4 linked regions of the Caenorhabditis elegans genome follow. Each later gene encodes a partner of the first gene's protein in a complex. Each region holds a gene or a part of one and is shown in the gene's direction. Other genes may lie near its edges. The genes, in order: mdt-15, mdt-1.2, mdt-4 and sop-3.

Region 1 (8,265 bases):
ATTCTGAATTTCCCTGTCAGCACCTGCCCTTCGTCTTTGCTCAGGCAATCAGCACCGAACTCTCTCTCTGTTAGAAAATGTCGCCAGTTGCTCGGGCTCTTTCCCTCTCTCTCTATCTCTCTCTCTATCTGGCTCACCGACCGCGTGGTGGTGCTGCTTCGTCGACACGCTCGTTTGGTGATAAATGATTTGCTCCCCCTTTTCGTTTTCTTTTTCTTCTTGCGTTGATTTTTCACATTGTTATTGCACTTGGCAGTGTCGTATTTTTGTGTTTTTATTTTGACCCATAAGTTCTAATACGATATCTTAGGCTCCCAGCTTGACTGGTGCTCTCATAATTTGAAATCAGAAGTTTTTCTTTTAAAAATTGAAAAAAGTGCACATTTTTCTTAAATTTTGAAGCTAAATATTTGAAATCTTCCACACTTCTAGTTTAATTCTCGATAACATCTGATAATTCTTTCCAAAATTTCAGGTCGAGCTGGCAAACATGGAAAAGCAATCACATTCCTCACACCTGACGATACTGCCGTCTATTTCGACTTGAAGCAGGTAAAAATTGTGGACGGACACCTTCCAACACACGTGTAATTGGTTTACTTTCCAGTGCGCGCTAACCGAATTCCCTTTCGTCTTTTTTCGCGCGCGCTCTCCGGCACTTCACACATGTGTTGTGGTGCTGGAAGGTTGCCTAATTTCTTGCACTTGAGCTGGTTTTCTCTCTGCGACGAAAATGGATTTTTTGTTAGGCGGAAAACGGAATTCGTTTTTTTTGTAAGAAAATGAAAATTATTCGGGAATGATAAGACCGGTAAAACGTTCCATAAGATAAGAACATATTTCAGCGTTCTAGAGCAATTTAAAACAAAAAAATGTTGTGATTAATTCTACAATTTTTGCGCCGAAAATACGGTACCCGGTCTCGACACGACAGAAATTGTTGTTAACTGCGAAAGGTCTGCGTCTTTAAAGAGTTCGGTAACTTCAAATTTTCATTACTGCGGTAATTTCAAATTTTCATTTCATTGAGTTTTCCCATAAATTCATAAATATATTTTTTTATCGAAAAACAATGAAAAATCTTTAAAAATTCGACTGAGATTAAAGTTTGGAGTTACAGTACTCTTTAAAGGCGCACACCTTTCACATTCATCAAGAGAGTGTCGTGTCGAGACCGGGTGCCGTTTTTTTGTCAAAAACTAGAAGAATTACGTTGACGCGAAATGTATGTCCCCTTGCTTTACAAAATTTTATACACAAAACATTTAATTTTTAAATTTTCCAGGTTCTCGTTGAATTGCCTGCGTCGTTATGCCCGAATGGACTCGCGGAACATGATGCTGCACGGAGCAAACCTAGACAATTCACATCTTGATGTGAAAGTGAACTTTTTGTTTGAAAATTTCAAACATTTTTCAGTTTTTTTAAAACTTACCAAATCTTCCAAATAATACTAACCACCACATATCTTCCATTAAAAAATTTAACGTTTTTCAGCGTTCTGAATATCTTATCTCTCTGGTCCATTTCTCCTACAGAATATCTCTATCTCATAATTGCCTATTTTTATTTGTTTTTCTTTCTTAATTTCAAGCGTTTGGGATATCTTATCTCTCTCAACTCCGTTTATTTTTTTCTCCTTATCCGTCTCCTTATCCGTATTCCTTTATTATTAATCTCTTCTTCGTTCAACATCGCTAAATATTTTTTTCAATTCCTAATTTCAGGTCAAACCGGGGAACGAATCAAAAAGTGATTTTGCCGTCGGCGATCCGAAAATTTTGCCGGCTCGTCGACTATTGACGAGAACAAGAGGTGAGAAAATGGGGAACTTTTTGATATTTCCATCCTGATCTTTTGTGAATTGAAAGTTGAATCACAATAGATCGATGCACCATAATACAAAAAGTGACAATTTTTCCCCACTTTCAACCATCCATTATTCTATTTCTTTTGCAGGAATCGTCGTTATTTTTCGTTTGCCGCGTTCGTCGTTTTGATTTGTTCTTCATTTTCCTTCTTGTCGATAATTGTGTGTGAATCAAGACGCTCAGAAAGCCGCCGCCACGTTGACGTCGACGGTTGTTGAATCGCTTGCAAAAGCAACATTTCAAAAACAAGAGCAGAGTAGAAAGATGAGCGAAGAGGATTGGCCTTCGCCGAAATTTCGAGAGCATGTTATTCAGAGACTGTAAGCTTTTTTTAAAGGAATATTTTTTTGATAACCGAGAAAACATTTTAAAAAATTTTTTTTTTGTTGAAAATTTCCAAAAATTTCCATTCAAAATTTTGATAAATTCCCAAGTATTTGTAAATTATAAACCATAGGAGCTGATGTCACAAATGTATCCAGGCTGTACTCTTTTTAAAAATGAAAAAAAAATCCCGAAATATAAAAATTTTCCAATTTTCAGTGAGCCTGAGTTGGCGAGAAACCGGCAGAATGCCCCAAATTTACCAGTACCCGGTGACGCGAGGCAGGTCGAAGAATATGTGTTCGCAAAGTGTATGTCGAAGGACGAATATATGAGGACGATCGCAAAAGTGATTAATGCTATCAATTGTAATAGTAAATCAGCGGCAGTGCCTTCCGTGTTACAACCATCACAGTTTCATAGTCCGCCGTGTACGACAGCAGGTAACTTTTTGTAGTTTTTTGTGGCAACGAAAATCTAAAATTTCAATTAGCTCTATTAGGAAACACTCCGGCTGGCGGAACACCCGGATATCGAGCTCCTGTGCCTCCAGATCCACAACCAACATCAGCTCAGGCAAGAAATCCACCTGTTACCGTAGCAACAACACAGGCATCAACAACTCCATCAGCACCAAATCCGCCAGGAGGATTGCCTGCTCCATCAGCTTCTGCCACTGCTGCTGTTGCCGCCGCGGTTGCTTCATTTCCATCACCAGATACAAGTATTCGTCCAGGTGGACAGATCACTCCAGGATCACAGGCACCCGGTGGAGGTCCGACGCCGGCACCAAATGTTCCATTCCCAAATGGAAGCAGCCAGATGAATGGTGGACCAGCAATGGGTCAGCCACCACCGCAAATGGGTGCTCCAAATATGGGTGGACCACCGAATGGATACGGTGGTTACGGTATGATGAATGGACCACCTGGTAGTGGTGCTCCAATGGGTGGAAATCCGTACAATCAGCAGATTAAAAAGGATGTGAGTTTATTTTTCAAATGTATTTTTTTTTAATCTGCTAATTTTTCAATTTTTGATTAATTTTTTTTTCAGATGGATCAAGCTCGTCCTTGGGATCCTTCAGCACATATGTATCAACAACAACCACAATGGGGTGCAATGCCACCACAACAACCACATGGATATCCTGGAAGACCAATGAACGGTCAAGGAGCCACTCCAACCGGTCCTTCATCAGTTCTTGAATCACTTATCAATCAGCCTCAACAATATCCAGGACATCACAATCAGATGGGCCCACCTGGAGATCGAAATGTTGCTGCTCAACGTGCAGCTGCCCAACAACAGCAACAACAACAACAACAGCAGCAACAGCAACGACCCGGAATGGTTCCAAACCAGGGAATGATGAGTTCCGAGGATCAAACCGTGTATTCTGCGAAATTGAGAAATATGCGTGGAAGCTGCGACAGTTTGAGAACACGAGCAAGGCAATGCAGACATGAGGGTAACCATGAAGCTGCTCACAAGCTTGAGGTTATGCTCAGTGTGCTCGAAGGAAAACGTGTGGTTAGCCTTGAATACTTGAACCATTTGGAGATGTGGATTGCCAGAAAGCAAGACTTCTTGAATATTGCTCCAATGTCACAGAATCAGAATCATATGGGAATGAACGATCCGATGATGAACGGTGAACATGCTATGTTGGGTAATGGTCAGGTGCCAAATCCCTACGGAGGACATCCAGGTTATGGACATCAGCAGTATATGGGACCTCCACCACCACATATGCAAATGCATCAACCACCAATGTGGCATCAACAGCAACACCAACAGCAGCAACGAATGATGCCACAGGATCATATGATGATGCAGGGTGGAGGTGGTCCAGTTCATGGAATGTATCGTGGAGATATGGGACACGATCCGATGACATCACCAGTCAACAATCATCGTCATGCTCCATACCCGAATCCTGCAGCGATGAGAAACAATATGAGAATGCCAAATGGTCCTGGACCAATTGGAAGAGATCGTAATTCGATGAGTGGATCAAGTATGTCAGGTCCAAGTTCTGGAGCCCCTTCAATGAATCCAATGGGTACACCGAATCAAAAAATGGGAACACCTGGATCAATGGGTGGAATGTCAGGACTTGATGATCTGAACTATGATGATTTCCTTCCAAACCCAACGCCGATTGATGCACTTCAGCCAACATTGCACGTCGGGCAGAATTCGATGAATGTAAGTTTTATATTAAAAATTGAGTTTCTCAGCTTTCAAAAAAAAAAAACACACAAAGTATCCTCAAATGATTTTTGAAAAAAGTGAAAAATAATTGTGTCGCCGAAAACACGAAAAAAAAAATCGAAAAACGAAAAACCTCTGATCTCAAACAGGGACACCAAAAACATTTTAGACCAAAAACAAAACATTTTCGTATTTTTTCTTCTCCCGACTAAAAATCAACATTTTCGCAATTCAGTTTTTTTTTCTTTTTTTGGTCCGAAAAAACCAACAAGATTACCAAAAAATCTATTTTTACAAAAAAAAAATCAACAGCCAATCAATAATCTCAATCAATAAATATTCAGGCTGGTCCACCAGTTCAACGATCAAATCTCAATGAAACAGCAAGAAAGGAACTTCAAATCCTTGATGCTCGATTCGAGATTGATCCAAACCATCAACGTCATGATGCCAATCATATCATTGTCGTCTGTAAAATCCGTAATCAACAGTTCCCACCACTTCGACTCGTTGTTCCAACCACTTATCCAGCTGGAAATGTGACTGTAGATCGAGCAGTCATTGATTTGGATGCATATTTGTATGATGATCTACAAAATTCAGTATATGAGAGATTATCACGACCCGGTCTTTCGTCAATTACTGACTATTTGAATGCTTGGGTAAGTTCTTTCGCTGAGAAAGGGAAATTTATGAAAATTGCACTTCAAATTGAATTTTAAATTTATAATTTTCTACAGGAAGAACAAGTGAATCAATACCAAAACCAGACAAGCGGTGGTCTAGACGTCGCTTTCAACGTGGGCAACGATTTCTTCTACGATAATCTTAACTTGTAAGTTAGGTAGAGTGCATTAAGTTTCTTTTTTTGTGCCTGCTCACTAAAAGTTTTGTTATTCAATGTTTATTTTTGTAAAATAATAAAAAATATGAAAAACATTATAAAATAAAGTTGGAAGTGAAAAAATTCCGGAAAGTTTTAATTTTTGTAATAACTTTACAAAAAGTATTACTCAAACGCGAAAGTTTACGATTTTTCACCAAAATTACGGTAACCGGTCTCGACACGAAAAATGTTGGTCAAATGCGAAAATATGTGCGTCTTTAAAGAGTACTCTATTTTTTCATCGTTTTTTGATTAAAAAAATATATACCTGTCAATCTAAAAAAAATACCCGAATTTGACAATGAAAACACAATTAATATGATTTGAAACATGATTTTAAAATTACAGTACTCTTTAAAAACGCAAACCTTTAAAAAAATTAGAAGACAGTTTTTTTTAAACAAACTGTTTTCTTCTCAATCAATGTTTTCTAATTTTCAGGTCAAATCCGTTCTAAACTCCGCCTCGTCTGAATTGAATTGCTCAGTTGCACAAAACCTGTACAAAAAAGAAAATCGAGTCTTCGTGGAATGGATTCAGTTGTTGTTGTCCTCTATAAATGATTGTTTTGCCTCCTCCTCCTATCATCAGCTTGCCCTTCTATCCATATCAGTTTTTTTTCCTGATTTTTTCCTTGTTTCACGTTTCCGAATTCCATTTTCCACGAGACTCCTGCCTCCGAATCGATTCCTAGTCGTAATCAGACTCAAACCTGTCCAATCCTCATTTGAAATACGGTTCAAAATTTCCATTTTCCTCTCTCTCCTCTCCCCTCATCTGAAAAACTGTGTAGTGCGTGAATAATTAGTCCCCAATTTCTTCTTCGTCCTCTTTGAAAAATGTGATAATAGAAAAAAGTTCTGGAGCTCAACTACGTGTCTTTTTAGGCTCTCTTTCGATGAGCATCGTGAGCTTCTGATACTCCCTTCCCTTCCCTTTCTACACGTGTGTCTCCCTGGTCTATATTTCATTATTTTTTCCTTTCTCACACTGTTCAAAAATACCTCAAGAATTTTTATATTTTGCCCAGTTTTTCCCTCCCCCAGCAAGAAAAGTTTAGTGATTATTATAGAAATGATAGAATTCGAAACGCGTTCATTTACTAAAATCAGGGATTGTTTTCTTTTTTTTTGAATATTTTTAAAATATTTGTTCTTCTCATTTTGCTGCCTTGTATATGAGATTAGTTTATCATTGAAACTGTAGATTTTAGCGTGTGTGCATTTGTTTGTACATCACATCATTTTAGATTCTTTCCTCCTCGTTTTGAATCTGTGATCCGATCTTTTGTCTGAAAAGTATGTTCTCTTTCAATTGTCTTCCCTTCCCACAAAAACCGTTTTTTTATCCTTGTTATTATTTTGTTTTCATTCATTTTTCACCCATTTTCTTCTCTCACATATTGCACCTCTTCTCCAAGTCCTGTGTACATTTCTCTTGCACCTTATACATCCAAACGAAAAGGCAATAGATTGTAATAAGTTCTCCGTTTTTACAGCCGTCCCAATTTTCTCTCGCTAATTAATCTCAAAATATTTTATTTCGTCTTTTTATATTATTTTTGTTCCACATTCTTTTTTCATAAAAAAAAAATGAAAATACATAAATCGATTAAATGCAATGAAAACCAAAGATTTACAATCCGATGATATGAAATATCAGAGAAGAGAATGAAAAAGAGGGGGATGGCAATGAAGTACCTGTTGATATAAGGAGAAGAAGAGAAAGAAGAAGCAGTTCAGCGACACTGGAAGCAGAGAGCAAAAAATGCACCTGCTACGAATCCGATTCCTGCGATGCTGGCTGGGCTGAAATAGTTTTATAATTTATATTTGGGACCAAAAGTATGCATCTAGAGCATCTTTAAATTTTGTTTTGTTCGAGTTTCCGAATAGAGCTCTGCAGCTTTAAAAATTGATTACGGTAGATTTACTGTTAATCTGGGACGAATCCATCAGAAACCTCGATCGCGATGTGCCCAGTATGCTCGCTGAAGCATTATGGGCCCAAATAAACTCTGATTCTCCGTCATCCCATTAATTTATTTTTCAAAGACAGAGATAAATGCATTATTAGTTATGATGTATGGTTCTTGCGTTTTGTAGTTTTCTTGAGCAGTTAAATTCAAATTAAACTGAGAATATGCCAAGTAACACAATTTCGTATTAAGTACCTCTTATCGAACTTTAGAATTAGTTAAAAACTCACTAGACCCAATATCGTAACCGATAGCAACATTCGTTATCACAACATGTTCCAAATGAGAAGAACGTGTCCAGTTCAGGATCGGCGCATCTGAAAAATTGAAAATTTAGAATAAAAATTGTCCGTGAATAATAATAGTTATAAAGCCATTCTCACAGTTCCTATATCCTTAAAGACTACAGAAATACGATAGGAGTTACTCTTTTTAGTTACTAGAAATTTTTTCAAAGTGCAAATTGTTACGCAAGAATACAATAAACGGTCTCGAGACAACCAAAATTAATCTATGGAATACTGGACACTGTAGTTCCCACTTTTCGCTATCTACAGTACACTACAGTACTCCTTGAAGGCGCACACTCTTTTTAAATCCTTTTAAATATTTAGAAATTTCGTGCCGAGACCGGGAACCGTATTTCTCATGAATTGCGATGAATCTGGGTAATAAAAGCTTTCAAATCTCCCCTCGCTCCAGGAGGACTTATAATTCCCTCAGAGGTTCAAATAGTCCATCATGATTTTTTAGGGAAATTCCCGACCTCCAGGAACATTATTCATCTTCACATCTTTTGCCCCCATTTTTCTTCTTTCTCATCATCACCCAAAAAAAAAGAAAAAAAGAAAGAAATTCCTCTTCTTCTTCTTCTTCTATTTTCTTATCCATTTCAGTTGATCCTCAAGGGGAAAGGATCTCTCTTTCTCTTCCTTCCCACCCGTTTTTTCCCAAATTACCCTCCATTTTTTGCGCCTTCCGGAGTAGAC
Region 2 (7,564 bases), on another chromosome or scaffold:
AACACCAGATGTGAACAATCGCAAATATATATTTATGAACCAAAACAAAACATTTTTCGAAAGAATGCAGCATTGTTCTTTATTTTTCCATTTGTGTTTAATACTAATAGTTAGGTTGCCATGCCGGAATGAGAATTTTCTAGATTTTCCGAAATGAGCGAGTTCCTCAAACTCACTCTAAAGTTTCACTCAAAATCAGCCCGAATGATCAGTTCCCAGTGATTTAATGTTATTCTTACCATGGTTAAACATGTAATAACCACTAAAAAACTCACTGTTTATATCCATTTCCGTTACCACGCCCGCCACGATATCCTTGGTTTGAATTCTTTTGATTTTCTTGAGTTCTCACTTTTTCAGGCGCAGTTTCATTGTTTTCAGAAGGGATCACATTACTAAAAATATAATTTTTCCATCAAAAAGATAAATGATGTATAACTAACTCGTTTTGAGTTGGTTCTGAAGTCTCTTTTTTGGTTTCAGCTGTTGGTTTGTCGCTTGACCCCCCTGCGATCTCCATCAATTCAAACGCTCGTACAACACGACCATAGTTTGGATCCACGGGTTTCTTGGTTTCGTAGGTGAAATCTTCATCGGTCACTGAAAAATAATGAAATTTCATTTAGAAAGTTTTTCGGAAAAAAAATCTTACTTGTAGATAAAATATAGTCCAGGTACGGGTCTCGAGTGAGTAGATTGTTGTATTTTGCACTTTCCTGTTGTCTTCGGAGATGTTCCTCGCCACGAATAATAGCTCCATCGTCCATTCCTACTTTTTTCTTTGCTGGGTACACAAAATCCTCGTTTTTCACTAAAAAAATGAAGTTCACCAAAAGTTTTACATATGATCAATTTCCAAAAAAAAAAAATCTGAATTTGAATTTCTGTAAACATAATTCACACCGCACACTATTCAGATTGAACCTTTACGAGTAATTGATCAACTTTGGACAAACTAAGTTCAGACTTTGAACAAAAATGATCAGATCTAGCAGACCTTGATAGTGAGTTCAGGTTCTCGCTTTAAAAAAAATGGAAAAAAAATTCATAGCAGTGGTGATTGTTTGACAATTAAGTTTTGTTCTACAGTCTTTTTTTATATTATTCACGCTATCATATGCATGTATATTGTTTCTCAGCAGGAACTCAAAATAGGTAGTCTATCCCCCTCATTCTCTTAGTCCCATAATAATTGTTTTCACACCTTACACAACCAAGTAAATAAGCCCCTCGTACCTCTGAATCTCCATGACAACCTGATCCAGTTTATGGTCAAACTATGTGAGAACTCAAGCTCTACGCTAAACTGTTAAAGTTTGGCTCGACACAAAAATAAGGCATTCTATATTTAAAAGTGCAACAGTGTGGACAACCTCTAGAGAATTCATGGAATCCTCAATGAGAAATTCTGGCTCAAACGAGCTCATAAGCTCAGTGTATCCAATCAACTCACTGTTTTTGAATTGAGACTCCATGAGTGCAGCTGTGGAGTTCCAGTAAAGTTGTGATGATTTGAAGTCGAATGGTTGGTTTTCTGCAGGCTGTTGACTGCTCAGCGACATTTTGTTAGCTTTAAAATTTACAGATTATAAATTCGAAAACAAGTTCGCTCAAGTGTGCAAACATCGAAAATGAAGTGGCCAATTGAAATATGAGAGTGAAGAAAGAATTGGATGAGAGAGAACTTGTAAAATCCAAAAAAAAAAACATTCGACCTAATACCAACCAGTCGAGACGAAGAATGGAAGACGGCGAGACAACGAAACCAGCAGCACAGCCGCCTGCCCGCCCTATAAATTGGACTTGAAACAGAGACGACGACGACGAGGAAACTGGTGGGTCTGGCTGCGCAGTCAATGCACACAACGGCTACACCACCAGAAAATTGAGGGAGAACACAGAGCACCGTTGTGCAATTCCTCGAAGGTCCAACATCTGTTGAGGCGAAAAAAGCGCAACAGTGTTCGAGCACCTGTTCGTCAGATGGTTCAACAAAGAGATGAAAGAACATTGAAAGATTTGTGATACATGCTATATTCGTTTTGGGAAAATTTTAGATCAGCAGATTTTTTGTTGAATTGTGAACGATTTGTGGAAAAATTCTCGAAATTTTTGAAATTTTCAGCAAAAATGTTCATAACGTTGTGAGATTGCATTGGGAATCCCACCGAAACATGGCATGTTGTGAAAATATATAAAGCTTGTTTATAAATTAGATGAAACTTAAAAAAACGGGGAAAATTTGATATTAAGCAACTTGAAATTAAGTTTAAAAAACTGCCAGGAGTCTTTGATGATTGAAAAATACCTAGTAAAAATAATGCATAATCTCACGGTATAAATTTTTTATTTGAAGAAAAATTTTAAAAATTTAAGGGTGTAGAATGACAAAAGTACGACCGTTTGTAAACTTATCAAATTTTGTTTAAGAATATGTATGTATTATACAAAAAGAAGATAAATGTGTGTAAAATCATTTTTTTAAGTGGCAGTATCATTTAGTGATTTTTAAAATGCAAAACCGTTTTCAACACACTTTTAAACTACTTTTTTTGTAATGAAAAAATTATTTTCAAAAGTATTCTCGGCAAAATATCTTAGTCATATTCAAAATGGGCTATCATTGGGAGTGTTTCCATCAAGATGTTTTCACAATTTAGTAACGATTTTCAAGCCCCAATAAAAACAAAAACTATACCGCAAATACTTGTCCAGATTCACATTAGGTCCTAAAAAATATTGTCATTCGCCCTAGGATTGAACTGAAAATATAGAAAAACACTGGCATGGAAAAGCAAAAAAAAATTTTTTTTGACAAGTTCTTCTTCTTCTCGAAATTCCCATACTTATTTTTTTCCATTAGCAATTGTAATTGTTCATCATCGTTTCCATGTTCTATGACACCACTTTTCTAATGTCTTGGCTGTGTCCTTCTCCCCTCCATTGCCCATGTTCCTCTCCCGCTCTCTCAAACACGCATTAGCTAGAGATAAGGTATCCAAGGAGTGTGCAGACAGTGTGCAAACACCATCACGGCATTTTGCGGACTTCCCTTTGAAGACGACATCTTATTTTTTATTTCTTTTTGTTTATATTTATTTTTTATTGTTAACTTTCCTCTCTTATTTGTAAATTTGTATTCAACTCGATTAAATTTCGATTTTAGAATGGTTTCCACTCCATCACCGAAAACGAAAGTTTACCTGTTGGAGCAGCGGAAGAATCAAGAGCTCAACATTGAGCATATTGACGAGGAAATGAGATTGGAACAGGTCCGGCAAGCCGCATCAAAAATGGAATGGACATCATTCGGGCAGGCTGTGAGGCGAAACTTGTTGGTAACTATTTTCTTTAAACTTATTTATTGTGAAAGACAATTTGAAAAATGCATGAATTGCAGGAAAAACGTAACACAATCGATGCTGATGGTAGAATTGACGTGCTCAACGGGATTGCGTACATGAAAACAAAAATGCCAATCGAGGAAAACAATCTGATGGAGGAGAAGATACGGGTTATGGCTGAGAGTCTTGGGTAAGTTTTCAGTTAGAGAAATGGCGTTAAATTTAGAAAACTGCCATAAAAACCTGGCTTTTTTGGAACCTAGAATTTAACTGCTAAAAATGATAGAGCATTTCCTTGCACCTATTTTTCACATGCATCAAAATGTATAATTTTTGAGTGCTCTTAAGGTAGAATTCATTTGCCGATTGAGCATTAATAACTTGGAAATCTATTTTTCGTAGCACCTGTTGCTTCAAGAAAGAAAAAAATCAAAAAGGAGTAGACCCACATATACTTCAAATTTTCTGAAACACTGTCAAGTTTCATGTTTTCTTGAAGAACCAAAATCAGTTCCACATCGGACCCTAGTTTGTAATAAAAATATTGTACTTGTATCCAAGATTGAGACGCAAACCTGTCAAAAACTAGAAGAGTTTACCGACTGCCAATTGCTAGAAAATAATCGCGTACTAAATATACAAAATTAAGAAAGTGAGCACCTACTCAATTTCTCTGAAATCTTTACACATTATTACATTTCACAAATAAATGAAAGTACTGCACAACATTTGTTTCTCGATAGACTAGTTTCCTTTTAAAAAAATTAGAAACCTGGTACGTTGGAGTCCGACAAAACTTATACATATTCCAACGTTATCCACTTGAAATTTGCCTAGCCATAACTTCTAATCGCTCAAAATTTATTAAAATACATAGCTCACTTTTATTTCCAGATGCTTGCACAAACAAACTTCTCGCGGATGGTCCATCAATCGTCAAGAAGATCTCATCATGGACTTTACTGTCAACGATGGTGAAGTGACAACCGTTGTGCTTAGTTTTTGGGAAGAGCCTTCATTCTACTCCCCAGAAGCTACAAGAATGCTCCAGTTAGGGATGTGGACAGAGCTTCGAAACCGAATCTCAGATATGCTGTTGACGTATGATAAGTTGTTGAGCAGGTATGTTGTTTGACTTTGAGCAAAGCAAAAAATAATGCTTCTAGAACTCACTCCCATTTTTCAGAGACGATCGTAGAAACTGCATGGGAGCTATGAGAATGCTCGAGATGCTTTTTGGACACTTCTCTCAAGACCCTTCCTACACTTCAATTCACAGATCCAACTATGGGTAACTTTATAATTATTTTTTTAATGAAAAATTTTAATTTTAGTTTCTACCTTCCACGTAATGATCTCCGCGCAGGGCGTGTATATTATTTGGCGGAACCACACTTTCGGAACATTCGCTCCAAGGATCATATTTTCCAGTTACAAAAGGATGATCACGAAGTTTTGCCATACTTTGAATTTTCGTTTGCCAAGCATGATAGCCCGTGTACACTTCCAGAGTTTGACACAAAGTGAGTTCATTCACATCTTAATATTATTGAAAATTGTAAATTTCCAGAGGCTGGGCAGAATCTATTGAAGCAAACGCTGTGATTTGTATGAAGCTATCCAGAGGGTTCAATCTTACTGAAACGACTAGAAAGAAGTTGGGAGCAATCAGTGCAAAGACTCCATCCGTTAAGCATTTCACAAATAGCTATCGCTACGTGACTGGAGCGGTGAAGATTGAGAACAACCTGCAGATGATTACACAGTTTGGCGATGGACAAACTCAACACTTCTACAATGTCGATGTGAACCAGTTGCGCAATGATGGTGACTCTGTGATCACTGAGATTTATTTGAAGCATTTGCAAGATTTTCATGAGGTAAGCAGTAGTAACATAGATTGTATTTTAAAAGCGCCAGTTTCATGATTCAATTAGCAAAAACATAAACATTTGAGTATCTTTTTTGTTTTGAGAAAATAAGCATACATGCTAATGCATGCTTTACATAATATGGACACACATTTTGCAACTTTCGGTTTTTTGCCACAGGGAATTATTGAACTTTGTGAGTCCGTTCAAATACTAGAAGTAGAAATATTATTTAAGACATCATTAACATATGTAGTCAGATATTCCACTACTCGATAAAAATAAATTATAATTGCAGATAATTGCAATTCTTCGCAACGAAGCCATGCATATCAGCCTTTGGGAGTCGATGATATCCGCGTGTTATGAGAAGCAGGGTATGAAAAAGCACACGGTTGCCGCAATCAAGATGGACGTTTTTCTGACAAGAGAGCAAATTGTAATCACCTTTGATACAAAATTTGCGCCGGTCAAAGGTGAGTTCTAGATAGATAAAGTGTTTAATATTAAGTAAATTTGCAGTTGTAATCCAGGATAGTGGAGTTTGTGAGGCAAAGGTGAATGTTGTGCATGCACAGACAGGCCTCCAGATTGCTGAAAAGATTGATGAAACATTGAGCAGAAAACTCAATGAGTAAGTTGAAACCGTACACTAACGCAAACGCAGGACTTGTTGCAAAGTTCCTGAGAATGTCAATAGCAGTTTTGGTGCCAACTCTTTGTCCATAGAACATCCTAGAGAAAACATTTGAAAATTTCAGAACTTGGAGCATTCCAAATATGCTTACCTACGCCGTGTCGGGTAGTGACTGCAACTTGGCAAAGATCAAAGTTCCGTTGAGAAGTGAAAACCCGGAGACTGTGGGCCCAATTCCAACTTATGCGGCTGGACGTTCCTTCTAACGGATTTTTGACTTATGATGTGTTTGTATAGTTTTTGTTTTATTATATACTTGAGCCTTATTTGATACTCATTTTGATTGTTGTGAATGTTTGAAATTAAGTTTTATATGCATTTGTATTATTTAAAATTTGCCATCTGAATTTTTCAAAGAGCTGAAAAGCAGAAAAAAATGATTAGAGGTTTTTTGCATGAATACTGAAAGTTGATTACTTAGGGTCAAAAATATCTTTAATAGTCAAACTGGGCAATATTTTCTTTAATTATGTCAATTGTAAGCTTGCTGAAAATATATAAAAGTAGCTCTAGTTGCCCAAAGACCTCGAAAGTTTACCCAAACAACTAAATTTCATAATGAGACTTTTCAAAGTTTTTAAAATATTTTACATTGCAGTTCAAAATTTCAAAAAAAAACTGTTCAATTCAGCTAAAATCTTCAATATTTATGTTTGTATGTGGCACATGGCCGGAAATCAATGTTCATTTAATGATCATTGAAATTTTGACCTTTCTTAAAAAGTTTTAAAACATTTTTGAGAAATCCGATTGCATAATTTTGTAATTTGGGATTAATATAATTTACAAACTCTGTTTAAGCATGAAAACCCAAAAAATTGATTTTTTGACAAATTCATTATTGACAGAAACTATATCCATAATTACGTATATGTTACAAATTTGACAGGAGACTGTTGTGGAAAGAAACGGTGATAGCATTATAAAGTTTTGAAAATCATGGGTGAGATCACAAAAACAGAACGCAATATGTGTGAGAATGTGTGAATAAGTGGGATTAGAATTTTAAAGCATGTATGTACATTTGTTATGAGTGATTATGATATTCGTAACCCGTCTCCAACTCCGAGTTTAACACCTTACGCCGCACTCGTGATGACTGCTCGATGTTGCTTTCACGCACCTGAAAGCTGAATCGAATAGAATGAAAATGTCTTGGCTGGAGAACATTCTTTACCTTTCCAAGATGAAATGTTTCTTTGATGCTTTGACGAAATCTTGTTGAAAGGAATGCGTAGAGGAATGGGTCGACGGCGGCATTAAAGAACAGAAGCAGGAAACTGATGGGTTGGAGTACACTTTGAAGGCAGTTCAAACATCTTGGCGCTGAAAAGTTTGATGTTTATGATCTTGGAACTTGGAGGTTCAGGTGGACGACGTGCTTACCCATCGGATCTCGCCAGACGGTCCACATAAAATATACATATCTCGGGAGTGAGAAGAACGCGAATGCCACGACGATTCCGACTGCCAAACGACCAACCTGAAGTGAAATTGAATGTCAGAAATATATCAACAAAATACTTTTTTGTTGAAAAATGTATGTTTATAAATTTTGTCGATTTTGTAGTTTGTAGTTTGATATTACTTCTGAAAATCTGGAGGCTTTCCTCACAGTGAATGACCCTTTTTTTTTCTGTCCCGTTAATAAA
Region 3 (6,624 bases), on another chromosome or scaffold:
AAATACTAATTTTAAGCATTTTAGATGGCAGAAACATTAGAAGCTGTAGAAGATGCAGTGGACATTCTTGAAAAAGAGGTAGCGTACACACATCCTCGAAAAGTGGCCGAGAAACAAAACATTTTAATTTCAGATGCTCTCCTTCTGCAACCTGATTCCAGTTAACTCTTGGGGATTTGATGATGATGTCAAAGAATCATTGAAGATGCGAAAACACAGTTTGGTTAATCGACAACTCAGCAAAAGTAATTTATTGATAAATTTCTTTAAAATTCTGTATGTTTTTCAGAGGAAAGAAAGTCAATGTCTGCACAACAGAAACAACATCTGGCGAAAGGCTTAGGATTGGTTCCAAACACTGTTCAAGAAGTCCTCGAGTGGATGTCTAAAAGCAAGCAGCATTCGAAAGTGCAACCACAAAAGGTTGTTGCACCGGTGAAGAGACCAGCGGATCAGAACAAGAATAAAGAAAAAGTAGTGAAGAAAGACCAGAAAAAGCAAGATAAGAAAGCTGATTCTGATTCAGAAGAGGATGATTCATCTGACGACGAGGAGAAAGAAGAAACAGACGAGCCAGTTGCTAAGAAGCAAAAGAAAGAAGAATCTTCAGATGATGATGAAGACAGTGAAGATGGAGAAGAGCCTGAAGGAAATAATGGAGCTGTAGAGGCTGAGGACAGCGATTCAACGGACGAAGAAGAAGAAACACCATCTAAACCCAACAAAACCGTAGCACAATCTACTCTGAAATCGAATGGAAAAATTGACAAGGAGATTCAAAAGTTGGAAGACGATGAAGACAATGAATCCCCCGAAATCAGACGTCAAATCGCTTTGCTGAGACTGCAGAAAAAGCTGAAGGAAATGAAAGTTGAGCGGAAAGGAAAAGGACCGGCGAAGGTAACATCAGCGATGGCTGAAAAAATGGCAGAGGAGAAGCGTTTGAAAAGACGGGAGAGCAAGCTGAAGCTGAAACAAAGAAGAGCAGAGGAGAAGAAAGGAAAAGAGGCAGCAGCTCAAGTGAAGAAAGAGACTGTTGAAAGCACAGAAAATGGCAATGAGCCTGTCGAGAAGCAGAAATCTGGAATTTCATTCAATAATCTCAAGTTTGAAATCAAAGAAGACAAGCAGAGGGGCAAGAAACAAAGAGTGAGTAAAAATATTTTTATCTGAAATATCTGAAATTTTCAGACCGCCAAAAAAGATCGAGCTCTTAAACTTACCGGACGTGACTATAAATCACTTATCGCTAAAGTCGAAGAGACAAAAGCAACAATTGCCAAAGTTCGCGAAGCTGATCCACATAAGGCTACCATCATGGAAGATGAGCTAAAGTGGGAGAAAACACTGAAAAGAGCAGCTGGTGGAAAAGTGAAAGATAATTTGGGAATGCTCAAGAAGGCTTTGGTGAAGAAGAATAAGATGAAGGATAGAAGAAAGCAGAAATGGGAGAACCGAGAGAATAAGACGGAGGGAGAGAAGCAAACGGTATGTTGATTGGTAGAAAATCCTTTAAGATTTGAATTTTTATTTTTCAGAAGCAAGACAAGAGAAAGAAGAATCTCCAGAAGCGCATCGATGACGTCAAGAAGAGAAAGATGAACAAGTTGAGAAACAAGGGAAGAATCCTCTAAACAACACACATTTATCCGCTTTTAATTTCTCGTTGTTGAACATTTTTTTGTTAATTTTTACTGTTAACTTTTTTCTTTAAATCTGTGGCCTGTTGTTAAGTTTTTAAGTTTTCAAATTATACTAAATTCTTTGAAAAATATTCTCTTTTTTTTTGAAACTTGTGCCGTTGTTTCGGTAATTAATTATTTTAAAAGTTGTTAATGTATGTTCGATGGTTGTATTGTTCTAGATCTCAAATGGCAGAAACAGATGAACGAAGTCTACGGGATTTGCTCCTGGAATCTGCAGATGATTTGGAGCATATTGTTAAAATGGTACGTTCTAAAAAAATTTGAAACAATATTATAGTTTATTTTAAAATTACTTTTTACTGTGAGTTCATCTTATAGAATTCATGAACCCACATAATCAATTATTGTTTCAGATCGTCGATACACTCATCAATCGGGACAAAAGTGTTATGCTGAAAAATGGAGAAACCGTTACGAACATTATCAAGCTGTTTGACTCAAAACAGGATAGCATAAAGACTTTGCTGAAGAGGGTTCCTGAGTTTCAAGAACGAGAGCAGCTCATTCGGACGCTTGAAGCCCACGTGGAGAAACGAGACGAAGTTATTCAACAACTTGAAACGAATTTGAAGTCATGTGAGGTGGCTCTGACGCGATCTTGTTTTCATGTAAATTTTGTTGGAAACAAAGACTTTTTTCGAAATACGTTTATTTCAGGCAAACCAGAAGCTCAAGCAAATGAAAGAAGCTGAATTGAGACCAGTCAATAGTGAGATGCTCATCAAACTGGCTCATCAGATCAGTAAGCACAACTCCGTATCTGCACCACTCACTTGGCAAATGGGAGATCCATCGCGTCCGTTTCCTCAGGAACACGAATTTCGAGCTGGTCACCTATTGAATTCAAAAGTTCAGAGCACTGGACCTCAGCTTTTACCCGGAAAGAACGTCGCTCAGAGGCCGCTTATTACGGTATGTTTATGGAAACTTGTTGAAATGTGAATCCTCACCTGAAATATTTGATAAATGCATTTATAAATGCATTTATATAAATGCAATACTTCTAATGTTTTCTACGTTAATCTGAAATTCTTTTCACACTGTAACCGAACAGCTGTGAATCACGTGATTTATGTCTTATCTTCTTACATTATCTAACAGTCATTCCTTCTAATGATCAAATTATGAGTGATAAGAAATATTCAGTTCATATTGTGATCTCTTTCCTTCTACGTTATTCGTAGTAAATTTTATAAATAAAATTAAGATTCAACGTTCAATCAATATTATTTCAGTCTCCATCCGCATCCTCATCCAACGGTGGAACAGCTCCAATTCGAACTGTCGGCACTCCTCTTATTAATTCTGCTCCGACTGGAGATTTCAGTCCACGAACTGGTTTTGGCACCGACGAGCCTCCACCGATTCAACAGCAAGTACTCCGTGGAGCCACTCCAAATGAAAAGCAATGGCAGAATCCGGGAGTTTCAGGAGCCACCTCAACGCAATCCCCTTACAACCGTGTCTCGCAGGTCAGTGCAAACCGAGTGTACATAGACAGTGTTACTGGCGGCCCGCAAATGATGCACGGGTGGCGCAGTGGTAACGCGTTTGCCCGTTGTTCAGCTGTCCACCAGTTCGATTCTCAATGCACACAGAAAGTCGAGATTGCCGGCTTCAAAGGCTTTATCGTTGATTACGTGTGCTATAACAACGCCATAGGTATCATTCTTCGTCTTCTTAGGCGCGGAACATCTAAATATGGCTACATTTATCTGCTATTTTATAATTTTCCAATAAATAACATATTTTCAGAGTCCTTCTTCCTCGCCAAACGTGAAGCTGAAAATTACTGGACTTCCGAATCGTCCAGGAGGTATCGATCAAGTTCAAGATGTGCGGGATGTCGAACAAATGTCGTCGGACAGCTCCAACTCGTCAGATAGTTCAGATGATGAAGGCGCATCGAAAAAGACTGGCAGTAGCAATAAATAATGAAAGATCTCTGTAAATTCTGGTATTTTACTTATTGTACGTTGATAAATAAACACAATTTTCTATATATCTTGTGTTTAACAGTGACACTAACTGATTGCATGTGGTTCAGTGTCCACGCCATGTTTACCGCTATGCCAGCTGCCTTTCTTTCTTTCTTTATGTCCTCTAATCTATTTACTCCTTGAACTTTTTTTTCAACAATTCTAGTAACTAATTATATTTAGAAATATGCCAAATTTTGGAATATACCTAAGTTAGCTTTTGATTCAAATCTTATTTTAAAAAAACACTCACCCCATCTAGAGACGCAGAAACGAAAGGGACCACCCATGACAAGAGAGATGCGGAGTACGTGAAAAGATGCACAAAACATGTTGCAGTGAAAGTGTTGTTAGCCATCACTTTTTTTTGTTTTTGTGGGCTCAAATCAGTTTGAAGAAAAGTTGAAGTTGTAAAATTTCGCCTCCTTTCGTTTTTTATGTCATTTTATATTACTTGCCCTTTGGTAATAGATAAGAAATTATCTCTCCCATCAGACACATTCCCACACATCTTCTTTTGACTTGCCTCCACACAACTAATCTAGATATAGATGGGCGGTCCTGATTCTTGAATACAATACATGTGGAATGTTTTGTTTCGGAAGGATTCTTCAAGATTTCATTTGAATTTTCTTAATTGAATTAATACTTTCTATCTTATTATACTCTTAAATTTGCGATTTTTCGGCAAAAAATACTGCATCTGGTCTCGACAAAGCTTTCTTTAATTTGTTGTTAAATACAAACGGATGTGCACCTTTAAAGAGTACTGTACTTTCAAACTTTTGTTGCTATATAATTTTCATCGATTTTCCGATAGTTTTCGATAGAATAAAGCATAAATTTCACCAAAATCAACACGACAGTTTGAACACACCTTTCTTATTTAGAAAAAATGAAACAATTGTCGTGGCGAGATCAGGCATCGTACTTTTGACGCAAAACATTGCGTCTAGATAATAATTTCCATGTTTTCAGATATGGTAACTGAAATGAGCCATGCAGAATCCATCAAACGAGTTGTCGACCAAAAACTCTCCTCACACGAAGGATTTGAATCCCATATGTTCAAGGTAATTCCAAAATCATTTAAATCATCAAGTTCGTCCTTCAGATTGGATCTTACAATGAAGCAGTAGGTGAGAGTAGCCCATTTGCTCTTCCGTACGATGACTCAACAATGGCTCTTCTAATTCTCAGCACTCCTGACATGTTTGACGTTGCATTCCGTAAATGGGTTGTACAGAAAACAATGGATTTCGGATCGTTCGATGAAGTTTGTGAGATGGTCTCATCTCCAATTCAGAGCTTTTTGGAGGATCGTCTTGAAATTATGAGCGAGGTTTGTTGGGAAAATTGAGAAATTAAAAAAGAAAATGAATTCTTTTTCTTTTCAGAAACTGCGAAAAGTCGAGGAAAACTTTGAAATTTTGCACGATTACTCGATGACTCCACAACGAAGACCGAAAATTCTGATGCAAACATGCGGGCATGTTGCTGGAGCAGCTTTCTACTATCAGCCTTGTCATTTTCAAGAAGACGGAGTTACATGGCCTCCTGCAGGCCGTATGGGTCCAAATTTGGTTTGTTTTTTTTTCAAATTGAAATGGAAAAGAGAGAAAACGAACGAGGAGCTTTGAAAAATATTTATTTAGCAGCAAAAAACAGTATCCTCGTTGTATGTAAAAATAATGAAAGGATCCATTTTCCCTGCAAATTTGAAAGAATCTCGATTGGATAACTTTTCGAAGAGAATATCCTGAAATTATGGCCCAGCCAAAAAACAAAAAAAGACGAGCTATCAATGAAAGTTTATTGGTTTTGGAAAAAGTTCAAGATGTATTTCCTATGGGTTGTACTCGATTGGGAGGTTCTTACGACGAACCATACCGTCTCCTTGAAACCATTCCCGACGGAATTGCTTAGCAGCACCATCCGGAGTGTTGGTCCACTCAACAGTGATACGATCGTTGTTAGTGTCCTCCTGTCCGAAAGCGAAGGCATCGCAGGAAACAGCAAGAAGAACAGCTTCCTTTGGGTCCAAAACTCCACATGGTGGATCAACTCCAAGTCTCTTTATATTGGTGGTCTTGATACCGTATCCAATACGGCGAGCCGAGGAGTTGATCACCTTGATGTGGTAGGTGTGCTTGTCGTCGTACGGTGCATTGAACACGATCTTCGTACCCGGCTGGGTCTGGATATCTCCTGGTGGGACGGATTGGGCACTGGCGACTTCTTTGTAGAGTGTGGAAACTTACAGTGAAGATTATGGTAAACTCTGCTCAATTTATAGCAAATTTCTCTCTTATCTTTGTCCCAGATCTTCACATTAATATCCTCACGTAAAGGTCATAATGGATATTTTGTCACATCTCTAATATTAGTTCAAAAAGTTAATAAATAAATACAATTATTTTTGAAATCCGTAAAACTTCTCACAAATTGAATGCTTTTTATGATTTCAAAAATCTTATACAATTTAAGAAATTTTCCTCCAGGATTGCCTAACTTGACCGAACTAATTAATCTAGTCAGACCCAACTTCCCACAATTTATCAAATTTTCCGAGCTGTCTAGAAAATCTATAGAAAATTGAAAATTTCCTCCACTTCGAAATTTTTAATCATAAATAATAGCTTTCTATATGCAATTTTAAAATTTTAAAATTATATAAGTAATTTTCTACATCTAACAAACATATTTGCGAAAATTTGGCACCTGTAGCGGCCACTTGAACTGAGTTCGTGGCGAGACCCACTCGAAAATACATGATGTGCCTTTAAACTGACCTGGCAATTTTTTGCGAATCTACAATAACAAAAACTGGCAACATTAAGAATATTCCATCTATTCTAAAAACAAAATAATATTAAAAACCCTTTTTTATTAAATAAATTTAATAAATCTATAAACATTTTACAGAAATTCATCGGCCT
Region 4 (7,386 bases), on another chromosome or scaffold:
CCGCTTATTGTTAAAATATCAATAAACTTTTAATTGTAAAACTATAGAACAAATCATGGAAAACATTTTGCCAGTTGATTTTTTTCTGTGAAAATTAAGAATAACCGAGATATAAGCTGTCGAACCGGTAGATGCACCATGTTCCTCGTTTTTCCCCATTCTACTTTGGCCGCTTATATCTTGGTTCATTAATAAGATATCTATAAATTTTAAACTGTAAAACTGTAAAATAAAACATGAGAAACATTTTGTCAGTTGATACTTTTTTGTGAAAATCAAAAATGACCGAGATATAAGCTGTCGAACCGGTCGATGCACCATGTTCCTCGTTCTACTTTAGCAGCTTATATTTTGGTTCTAAAACATTTTTTTAGTTAAAAACTTTAGGTTAAGATCAAAAGTAGCCAAGAAATAAGCCGCTGAAGTTTCGAGCAAGGCAATTTTTATAAGAAATTGCAGTAAATACCTTTTGGCTGGTTTTTGAAAAAAAAAAGTCGAAACACCATGTCTCTAATTTGAATTTACCGACTCTTGGCTACTATCTTGGATAATTTTTGTAATCATATCAATAAATTTTGAATTTCAACTTGTAGAAAAAATATATGACAATTAATTTTTAAATGTATTTATTATACGTATTTTTTATAAAGCCACAGTCAACATTTTTTGTCAATTTCCGTCAATTTGTAGTCTCGTAGTGTGTTCAAACCGTCTTCTCATCAAAAATTTGTGATTCTTAATCAATCGTTTCCCGTCTGATTACACCTTCTTCTCATCCTTTTTTCTATCATTCTTCTGTTTTTCTTTACCCATTACCTTATGATCTCCATTATTGTTCAATGGTCACTTTTTCGATTCAATCGCTTCCAAATCAAAATCTACTTTCAAAATTCCAGATGTTCAATCATCTCATATTAATTTTCTCATGCCACGTGGCACTGCTAACAGCAGCTCCATCCGCCAGAATGTGCGCCTCGTTCGCGAAATTCGCCGAACGATGGAATCCGCTTCCGGAGACACTGCTCTCGTGGTCCAAGAACAATTGTGACAAGGTTCAGCCAAGACCAAGGGATATGTCATGTGAAGATGTTGTACAGGTAGGTGGAGATTCGGAAAGGTCACGCCCATTTTTCTGTGCCCTGTAGGGCTGTACAACCGGACGTCCGGTCGTCCGAACCGGACGCACATGCGTCCGGTTGGGGGTAGCTATCCACGACGGCCGACAATTTCCGAGTTTCGCCACTCACTATAAAATTGCTGATTAAGTATAGTGAGTGGCGAAACTCGGAAATTGTCGGCCGCCGTGGAAACCTACCCCAAAACCGGACGCAGTGCGTCCGGTGGTGTCAAAATCGGACGACCGGACGCCGATTTGTACAGCCCTAGTGTCCTGAAGGCGAGCGGTCTGCTCCACGTTGTGCTCCGAATCGGGGAATCTTGATCGGGAGAATCTAAATCTGCCCATAGAACCTTGAACGTTGCGGAAAATTCAATTTTTGCCACGAGTCACACAAATATGGGAAATCTGAATTTTTGAGCTCAGATGGGCACAGTTTTGTGGGCGTGGTATTTACAGGGAACTCAGATATATGGGGAGCCAAGATCGTGTAAATTTACAAGGTGGATCTCCGTAAATCTACACAATTTTGGCTCTTCCCGCGCCACGCCCCTTGGGTCCCGATATGTATGCGTCTCTTCAACAGACAACTCTCTGCGGCTTTGTAATATTAGTTAGTCGCAATAACTTGCAATTTTTGTACCGAAAATACGGTACCCGGTCTCGACACAATCTACTTTTGTTGCTAAATTTCCAGCGATTTTTTTTTCGATAAAAATATATTATGAAAACTCTTAAACTTTGAAAAATCGTGAGAAAATCTATGGGAAATCGGTGAAACTACAGTAATCTTTAAAGGCGCACAGTTCATTTCCATTTAACCAATAATTCACGTGGTGTCAGGCTGTCCCATGACGGTTTGATCTACAAAAAATGCTGGAATTTTTCTCTCAGCACACTCTTAACTATGCGAAATTAGTTTAAAAGTCTGCGTCTCTTCTCCCGCATTTGGGGCACTTTGACACCACGTGATAATTGTCGTGTCAAGACTAAGTTATAATTCGCTGCGAGACTCGAAAAATGATGTGCAACCTTCCCAACTTTCAGTTCGTCGCGGACTGCAATTTCAGCGGCGGAGGCCCCGGGCCGGGAAAACTGGCGGACACCACCAACCGCCAGGTCGCCGACACATTCTACCAGAGGACCTACGAAAACTCGCCGAGAGTCCTGCCAAAGTATATCTACTATAATGAGAATACCGCCAGAGACTACGGGCAGTTCGGTAACTGGTACTACCCGAATTACTATCCACCAACTTATCTCGGATTCTTCGACGGACGGCCGGCAAGTATGGCACAGCTTGAGAATGATTATAAATTTGCAAAAGGTGGACATTATCCATATAACAGGTAAATTTAAATTTTTTTAAAATTAATAATAAAACTTGTTTTTTTTCAGAGCCGATAATATTGTGAACATTGGGCTTCAACAGACATATCTTCCAACTTGCCTTCACGACTTGTTCTACTGTGTTCGCGCCAGCAATGGGCAGAGACCCCAGGCGTATTTGGTAGGTGGCCTAGGACTCAAAAAAAACTAGGCCATCGATTTTTCGAATTTTTAAAGAAAAAAACCATGTATTTTTAGTTGAAAATCTCCTTTTTTTAATCTTTTCCACGGATTTCTGGCTTCCCTCATAAATTGAAATGGAAGAGTTTGCCGAACTAGGTCATTTAGGCTCGGCCATATCTGGCATAGATTTACGGAGCGTTGCGTGTCGCGTCGCGGCTCGATTTTAGTTGTAAAACTAAATGTATTTGCCCGTGTGGAGTACTTTCCCACGTGTTTTCCGGCAGGCGATTGTCAATGGAGCGCGAAAAATTCAATGAGGAAGGCCAGAACCCCGTGCGCACGTTTAATTTTGCAACGCTCGCGCCAAGACCTTTCCTCTCAATTGAGCTCAAACAACGTTTTTTTTTAAAAATCACATTTCCTTCTCTTTTTCAGAACTACAAAGAATACCGCCGTGACCGTGACCAGGCTGCTGAACAAATGGCCCAACGGGATCAAGATATCAAGACTCTCCGCCGCCACCGCACCAGACACCACGAGGATGATGAATAAATTGATTTTGTTTGTAGATTATTAATGAAACATGATGTATTTTTGTTAATAAAATATAACTTGAAAATCGATTTTTTCTGCAGAAAACCGGTTTTAAACCCTGAGACGAATTATCTAAATTCAAACACCCGCCAATTGATGCCAGTGGCTGTGGCCTAAAATCCGCCTGCTAAACAACACGCGCCGCGTTATAACGGAGTGTCGTTCGCAGCAAAACAAAATATTTTTTGCACCGATTTTCTATTTTAAACTGCATTTTTAATGGGTTTCTCGTTAAAATTTCTCAATTTTTATATTATTAAACAGCAAATAATTAAATATTTATCGATTTTCAGGTAGCGAAACCTACCATGATAATTGAAGAGAGGAAAAATCATGAGTTAAACCTGGAGTCGATCGATCGAGATTTGCGAATGGAAAATGTCCGCCAAAGCGCAGAAAAGCTGGGATGGGAGCATTTTGCGAGATCTGTCAGGAGGAATTTGCTGGTAACTGCAATCTCCACCGTTTTTCATTGAAAAAAAAATCAAATTTTCAGGAGAAAAGGCAAACACTCGATGCACGAACCCGTCTCGACGTTCTTGGCTCTCTGGTTTTTATGAAAGAGCATTTACCAATTGATAATGATGCTACTATTGCTCGAAAAGTTCAACAATTATCTGAAGGCCTAGGGTGAGTGCTTTTTTAAATTTTTTTTAAATTAAAAATTTTATAAATAATTTTTTTTTCAGAGAACATTGCGTGTTTTCAACTCAAAATAGTGGATTTTCAATCAGAAATCCTGATGTAACAATCGACATTGGTGTTGCAGAGGATCAAGTGCGTTGAATACGGGATTTTACCAAAACAATAAAGCTATCTTTCAGATTAGTACCTGCAAAATCGGTTATTTCGGTCAACCGCTCACTGATGCTCCAGGAGCTCTAGCTCTAATGAAAAATGGAGAATTCTCGAAGCTTCGCGATTCGATAACCGCGATTTTGTCCTCACTTCCGAAGGAAATTACATTGTAAAGCTAATAATATTTATTTTTCAGAGGAAAAGAAAACTAAAAATATGAAATAAAAGCGTAAAAACTAATGAGAGCGACAGCGAGAATAATCGAAGATCTGACATAATGCACCGGCTGGGAGATCTTATCCTGTGTGAGACGGATGAAGCTGATCAGCAGGGCTCCAAGGGCTACCTGGAACGATTTTTATTGAATCATTTAAGAATAAAAATCAATAATATATTACCGGCGGAAGGTTCTTGGCTTCTTCTTCCAAATCGATCGTCGGTATAGATTCCACAGAGGAGAACGTCCACAGCAGAAAACTCGTGTAGAGACCGCCGGCGACGATGGAGAGGGATGAGAGAGTGCGCCACGTGGCGTTCCGTGGAATTTGAATGATGGAGAGGATCGCCGGGACCAAGTAGACCGGCGTATAGGCCCACCAGGTCGGATTTCTCGAGATTTCGAGAAGGCCGTAAGCCAGAAGGCCCAAACCGAGAATTGATTCAGTGGCGCGGAGGAACATTCTAGAAAAAAACCATTTTTTGTGAAATTTTGATTTAAAGGTGGTGTAGTTGAGTTTTTTATTTCTTTATTAGACTCAAAATTGTCTGAAAACACCGAATTTGATAATGAAACTTCTTGAAAACTTTTCCAAAAAAAATTATGACGCTCAAAAAATGACCTAAAATTAGTGAAAATTTGAAGTTGACCAACTTATCATTGTCGCAGCGGCTGGAAACAATTTTTTTTTGAAATTGTCGTCTATTTTTGAGTAAACAAGTAGATTATCTTGCGTTTTAAGCTTTATTATGGTATTTAAAGTCGATGGACGAAGAGAATTGATTAAAAAAATTTGAAAAATCTCTTCGTCCATCGACTTTTAAATACCTTAATAAAACTGAAAACGCAAGATAATCTACTTGTTTACTCAAAAATAGACGACAGTTTCAAAAAAAAATTTGTTTCCAGCTGCTGCGACAAAGATATTTAAGTTGGTCAAATTTCAAATTTTCACTAATTTTAGGCCATTTTCGAGAGGCCATAACTTTTTTTTGAGAAGTTTTCAAGAAATTTCATTATGAAATTCGGTGTTTTCAGACAATTTTGAGTCTAATAAAGAAATTTTAAAAAATTCGACTACTCTACCTTTAAGTTATAGAAAATAGTTAAAAATATCTATTTTTCTATTCGATGTTCCTTTATATACAGCTATAAAAATTTTATATGAAACTTATTTAAAAATATAATATACAGGAAAATTTCCCTACAAAAACGAGAAAATAAAAAAATCAATGAAATTCAAACTATTTTAAAGCCAAAATTTCGATAAAAACGAGATTTTCTGTATTTTGAAGGTGGTTTTCAGAAAAAGAAAACGAATTTATGGATGAAAGTATGACCACTTCTGAATGTTTTTTTTTTTGTTGCAATAACTAGTTGTGAGAGACGCAGACGGACGAAGATATGTATGTTGTAGTTTTTGATAAGAGAGATGAAGGTCAAACAAGGGGAATATGATGATAATTACGATAAAACTGTTTTATTAGACTCAAAATGCGCGGGAACTTTGAAATTTCAGGGAAAAATTGCTGATTTTTGCTAGAATCTAGAATTTCACTGCAACTTTTTCCTCACGAGAGACGAGGAAAATTGGTTTCTAGGCCATGGCCGAGGGGCCGACAAGTTTCAGCGGCAATTTATCTTGCTTTGTTTTCCGCTTGTTTTCTTTTGTTTTTCACAGCCTTTTCCCGTTTTTTCTTATTAAAACTGATAAATAAATATTTTTTGCAGATGCCAAAACGATTTCCAAGTAAAAAAAAGTGTATTCAGTGGGCAAGCAGCGGTGAAAGTGGTCAATGGTCAAATATGATGGATTACGGGAATACAAAACCTAGACTTTTTCTGAAACATGATACATATGCTGCTTAAATGCTGAGACTACCTGATTTTCATAACGAGACCGCTGAAAAAGTTTTGAGGTTTCCAAAATTCAACTTTTTTGGTGAAAAAGTCGAGATTTTCGCACAAAAAGTTGAATTTTGAAAACCTCAAAACTTTTTCAGCGGTCTCGTTATGAAAATCAGGTAGTCTCAGCATTTAAGCAGCATATGTATCATGTTTCAGAAAAAGTTTAGGTTTTGTATTCCCGTAATCCATCATATTACAATGCCCACTTTCACAGCTGCTTGCCCACTGAATACATAATTTTTTCAGTTGGAAATTGTTTTAGCATCTGCAAAAAGTATTTATTTATCAGTTTTAATAAGAAAAAACGGGAAAAAGCTGTGAAAAACAAAAGAAAACAAGCGAAAAACAAAGCAAGATAAATGGCCGCTGAAACTTGTCGGCCCCTCGACCATGGCCTAGAAACCACTTTTCCTCGTCCCTCGTGAGGAAAAAGTTGCAGTGAGGAAACTTACTTTTTTCAATTTCAATAATTTCAATTTCCAGAAGCGAGAAAAACGCGTGCAAAGAAGCTTTTCGAGCCCTCGACCAGTTGCTCATTCGAGATGCAGCCGACTCTTCGTTTACTGCAATTAACACCGGGAAATATGGATTTTATGCTCCGCGTAATGAGCTACGTTCTGGACGGATTTATTATGTTGCGGAGCCAGTTTTGATTCGGCTCGCCGAGAAGGAGGGAAAAACCAAGGCCGATGCTTCTTGTGAGCTTTTTTTTGGATTAAAAAAAGGATTAAAGGACGATCCGTTCTTCAAGTGCTATGCACTGCGGATCTGGGATTCAGGTACACTGCCTGGTGGTGATCCCTCTGGGCTGTAATTTAAGCCACGTCCTAGCCGGGGACTGTGGCCGATAATCCAGTCGTGGATTGCTCCACTTCCCAATAGAGGCTGGGTGAACCTAGGGGGTGAGGCCGGACTTGAACTCGTGACCTCCAGACTGCTAGCGGCCACCACTACCGACTGAGCTATCTGCCCCCCCCCCCCCTAAATACGGTTGCAGGTCTCGACACGAAATATTTTTTTTTTGAATACGAAAATGTGTGCGCCTTTAAATTTAAAGTACTGTAACTTCAAAATTTGGTTGTTTTAATAGTTTTTCGTTGAAAATATAATTTTTCATTAAAAAATTAAATTAAAACTGGCAAAACCACATAAATTTTAACAGAAAATCTATAAAACTTTCAAAAAGTACTCTAATCCGAGAGAATAAAACTATTAAAACCTCATTAAATTTTGAAATTAT

The links.
Region 2: mdt-15 (region 1) and mdt-1.2 share a complex: the UniProt entries of both Caenorhabditis elegans proteins name them as parts of the mediator complex.
Region 3: mdt-15 (region 1) and mdt-4 share a complex: the UniProt entries of both Caenorhabditis elegans proteins name them as parts of the mediator complex.
Region 4: mdt-15 (region 1) and sop-3 share a complex: the UniProt entries of both Caenorhabditis elegans proteins name them as parts of the mediator complex.

Annotation. Positions count from the first base shown.
Region 1 is NC_003281.10:5,827,208-5,835,472, reverse strand, and holds mdt-15 (Mediator of RNA polymerase II transcription subunit 15), read left to right. Parts: upstream 1-1,727; 5' UTR 1,728-1,815; intron 1,816-1,959; 5' UTR 1,960-1,996; coding exon of another isoform or gene 1,997-2,089; 5' UTR 2,090-2,135; coding exon 2,136-2,191; intron 2,192-2,414; coding exon 2,415-2,638; intron 2,639-2,688; coding exon 2,689-3,179; intron 3,180-3,251; coding exon 3,252-4,406; intron 4,407-4,756; coding exon 4,757-5,074; intron 5,075-5,152; coding exon 5,153-5,251; 3' UTR 5,252-5,348; downstream 5,349-8,265. Other genes in the region: R12B2.6 (uncharacterized protein), read left to right, coding at 1,320-1,451; R12B2.13 (uncharacterized protein), read left to right, coding at 1,997-2,089; R12B2.8 (ORF6), read right to left, coding at 7,037-7,106, 7,507-7,593. UniProt on the Caenorhabditis elegans protein: Component of the Mediator complex, a coactivator involved in regulated gene transcription of nearly all RNA polymerase II-dependent genes.
Region 2 is NC_003284.9:17,148,356-17,155,919, forward strand, and holds mdt-1.2 (Mediator of RNA polymerase II transcription subunit 1.2), read left to right. Parts: upstream 1-3,166; 5' UTR 3,167-3,167; coding exon 3,168-3,338; intron 3,339-3,400; coding exon 3,401-3,534; intron 3,535-4,238; coding exon 4,239-4,466; intron 4,467-4,530; coding exon 4,531-4,635; intron 4,636-4,678; coding exon 4,679-4,867; intron 4,868-4,914; coding exon 4,915-5,224; intron 5,225-5,513; coding exon 5,514-5,691; intron 5,692-5,737; coding exon 5,738-5,849; intron 5,850-5,976; coding exon 5,977-6,118; 3' UTR 6,119-6,292; downstream 6,293-7,564. Other genes in the region: T23C6.4 (Caprin-1_dimer domain-containing protein), read right to left, coding at 276-395, 444-600, 653-811, 1,454-1,562; npr-21 (G-protein coupled receptors family 1 profile domain-containing protein), read right to left, coding at 6,940-7,035, 7,090-7,238, 7,299-7,395. UniProt on the Caenorhabditis elegans protein: Component of the Mediator complex, a coactivator involved in the regulated transcription of nearly all RNA polymerase II-dependent genes.
Region 3 is NC_003280.10:4,939,190-4,945,813, reverse strand, and holds mdt-4 (Mediator of RNA polymerase II transcription subunit 4), read left to right. Parts: upstream 1-1,864; 5' UTR 1,865-1,871; coding exon 1,872-1,949; intron 1,950-2,059; coding exon 2,060-2,314; intron 2,315-2,363; coding exon 2,364-2,618; intron 2,619-2,941; coding exon 2,942-3,178; intron 3,179-3,294; exon of another isoform or gene 3,295-3,461; coding exon 3,462-3,641; coding exon of another isoform or gene 3,642-3,651; 3' UTR 3,652-3,707; downstream 3,708-6,624. Other genes in the region: SURF6 homolog gldi-11, read left to right, coding at 25-78, 134-245, 290-1,149, 1,192-1,488, 1,539-1,634; ZK546.19 (uncharacterized protein), read right to left, coding at 3,496-3,651, 3,939-4,043; cblc-1 (MMACHC-like protein), read left to right, coding at 4,666-4,758, 4,800-5,027, 5,083-5,268, 6,611-6,624. UniProt on the Caenorhabditis elegans protein: Component of the Mediator complex, a coactivator involved in the regulated transcription of nearly all RNA polymerase II-dependent genes.
Region 4 is NC_003279.8:2,772,228-2,779,613, reverse strand, and holds the start of sop-3 (Mediator of RNA polymerase II transcription subunit 1.1), read left to right. Parts: upstream 1-3,512; 5' UTR 3,513-3,531; coding exon 3,532-3,669; intron 3,670-3,719; coding exon 3,720-3,853; intron 3,854-3,912; coding exon 3,913-4,000; intron 4,001-4,047; coding exon 4,048-4,190; intron 4,191-4,192; exon of another isoform or gene 4,193-4,229; coding exon of another isoform or gene 4,230-4,367; intron 4,368-4,419; coding exon of another isoform or gene 4,420-4,701; exon of another isoform or gene 4,702-4,702; intron 4,703-6,629; coding exon 6,630-6,844; intron 6,845-7,386. Other genes in the region: Y71F9B.13 (NADH dehydrogenase [ubiquinone] 1 beta subcomplex subunit 7), read left to right, coding at 966-1,097, 2,165-2,466, 2,516-2,627, 3,065-3,181; Y71F9B.1 (uncharacterized protein), read right to left, coding at 4,230-4,367, 4,420-4,701. UniProt on the Caenorhabditis elegans protein: Component of the Mediator complex, a coactivator involved in the regulated transcription of nearly all RNA polymerase II-dependent genes.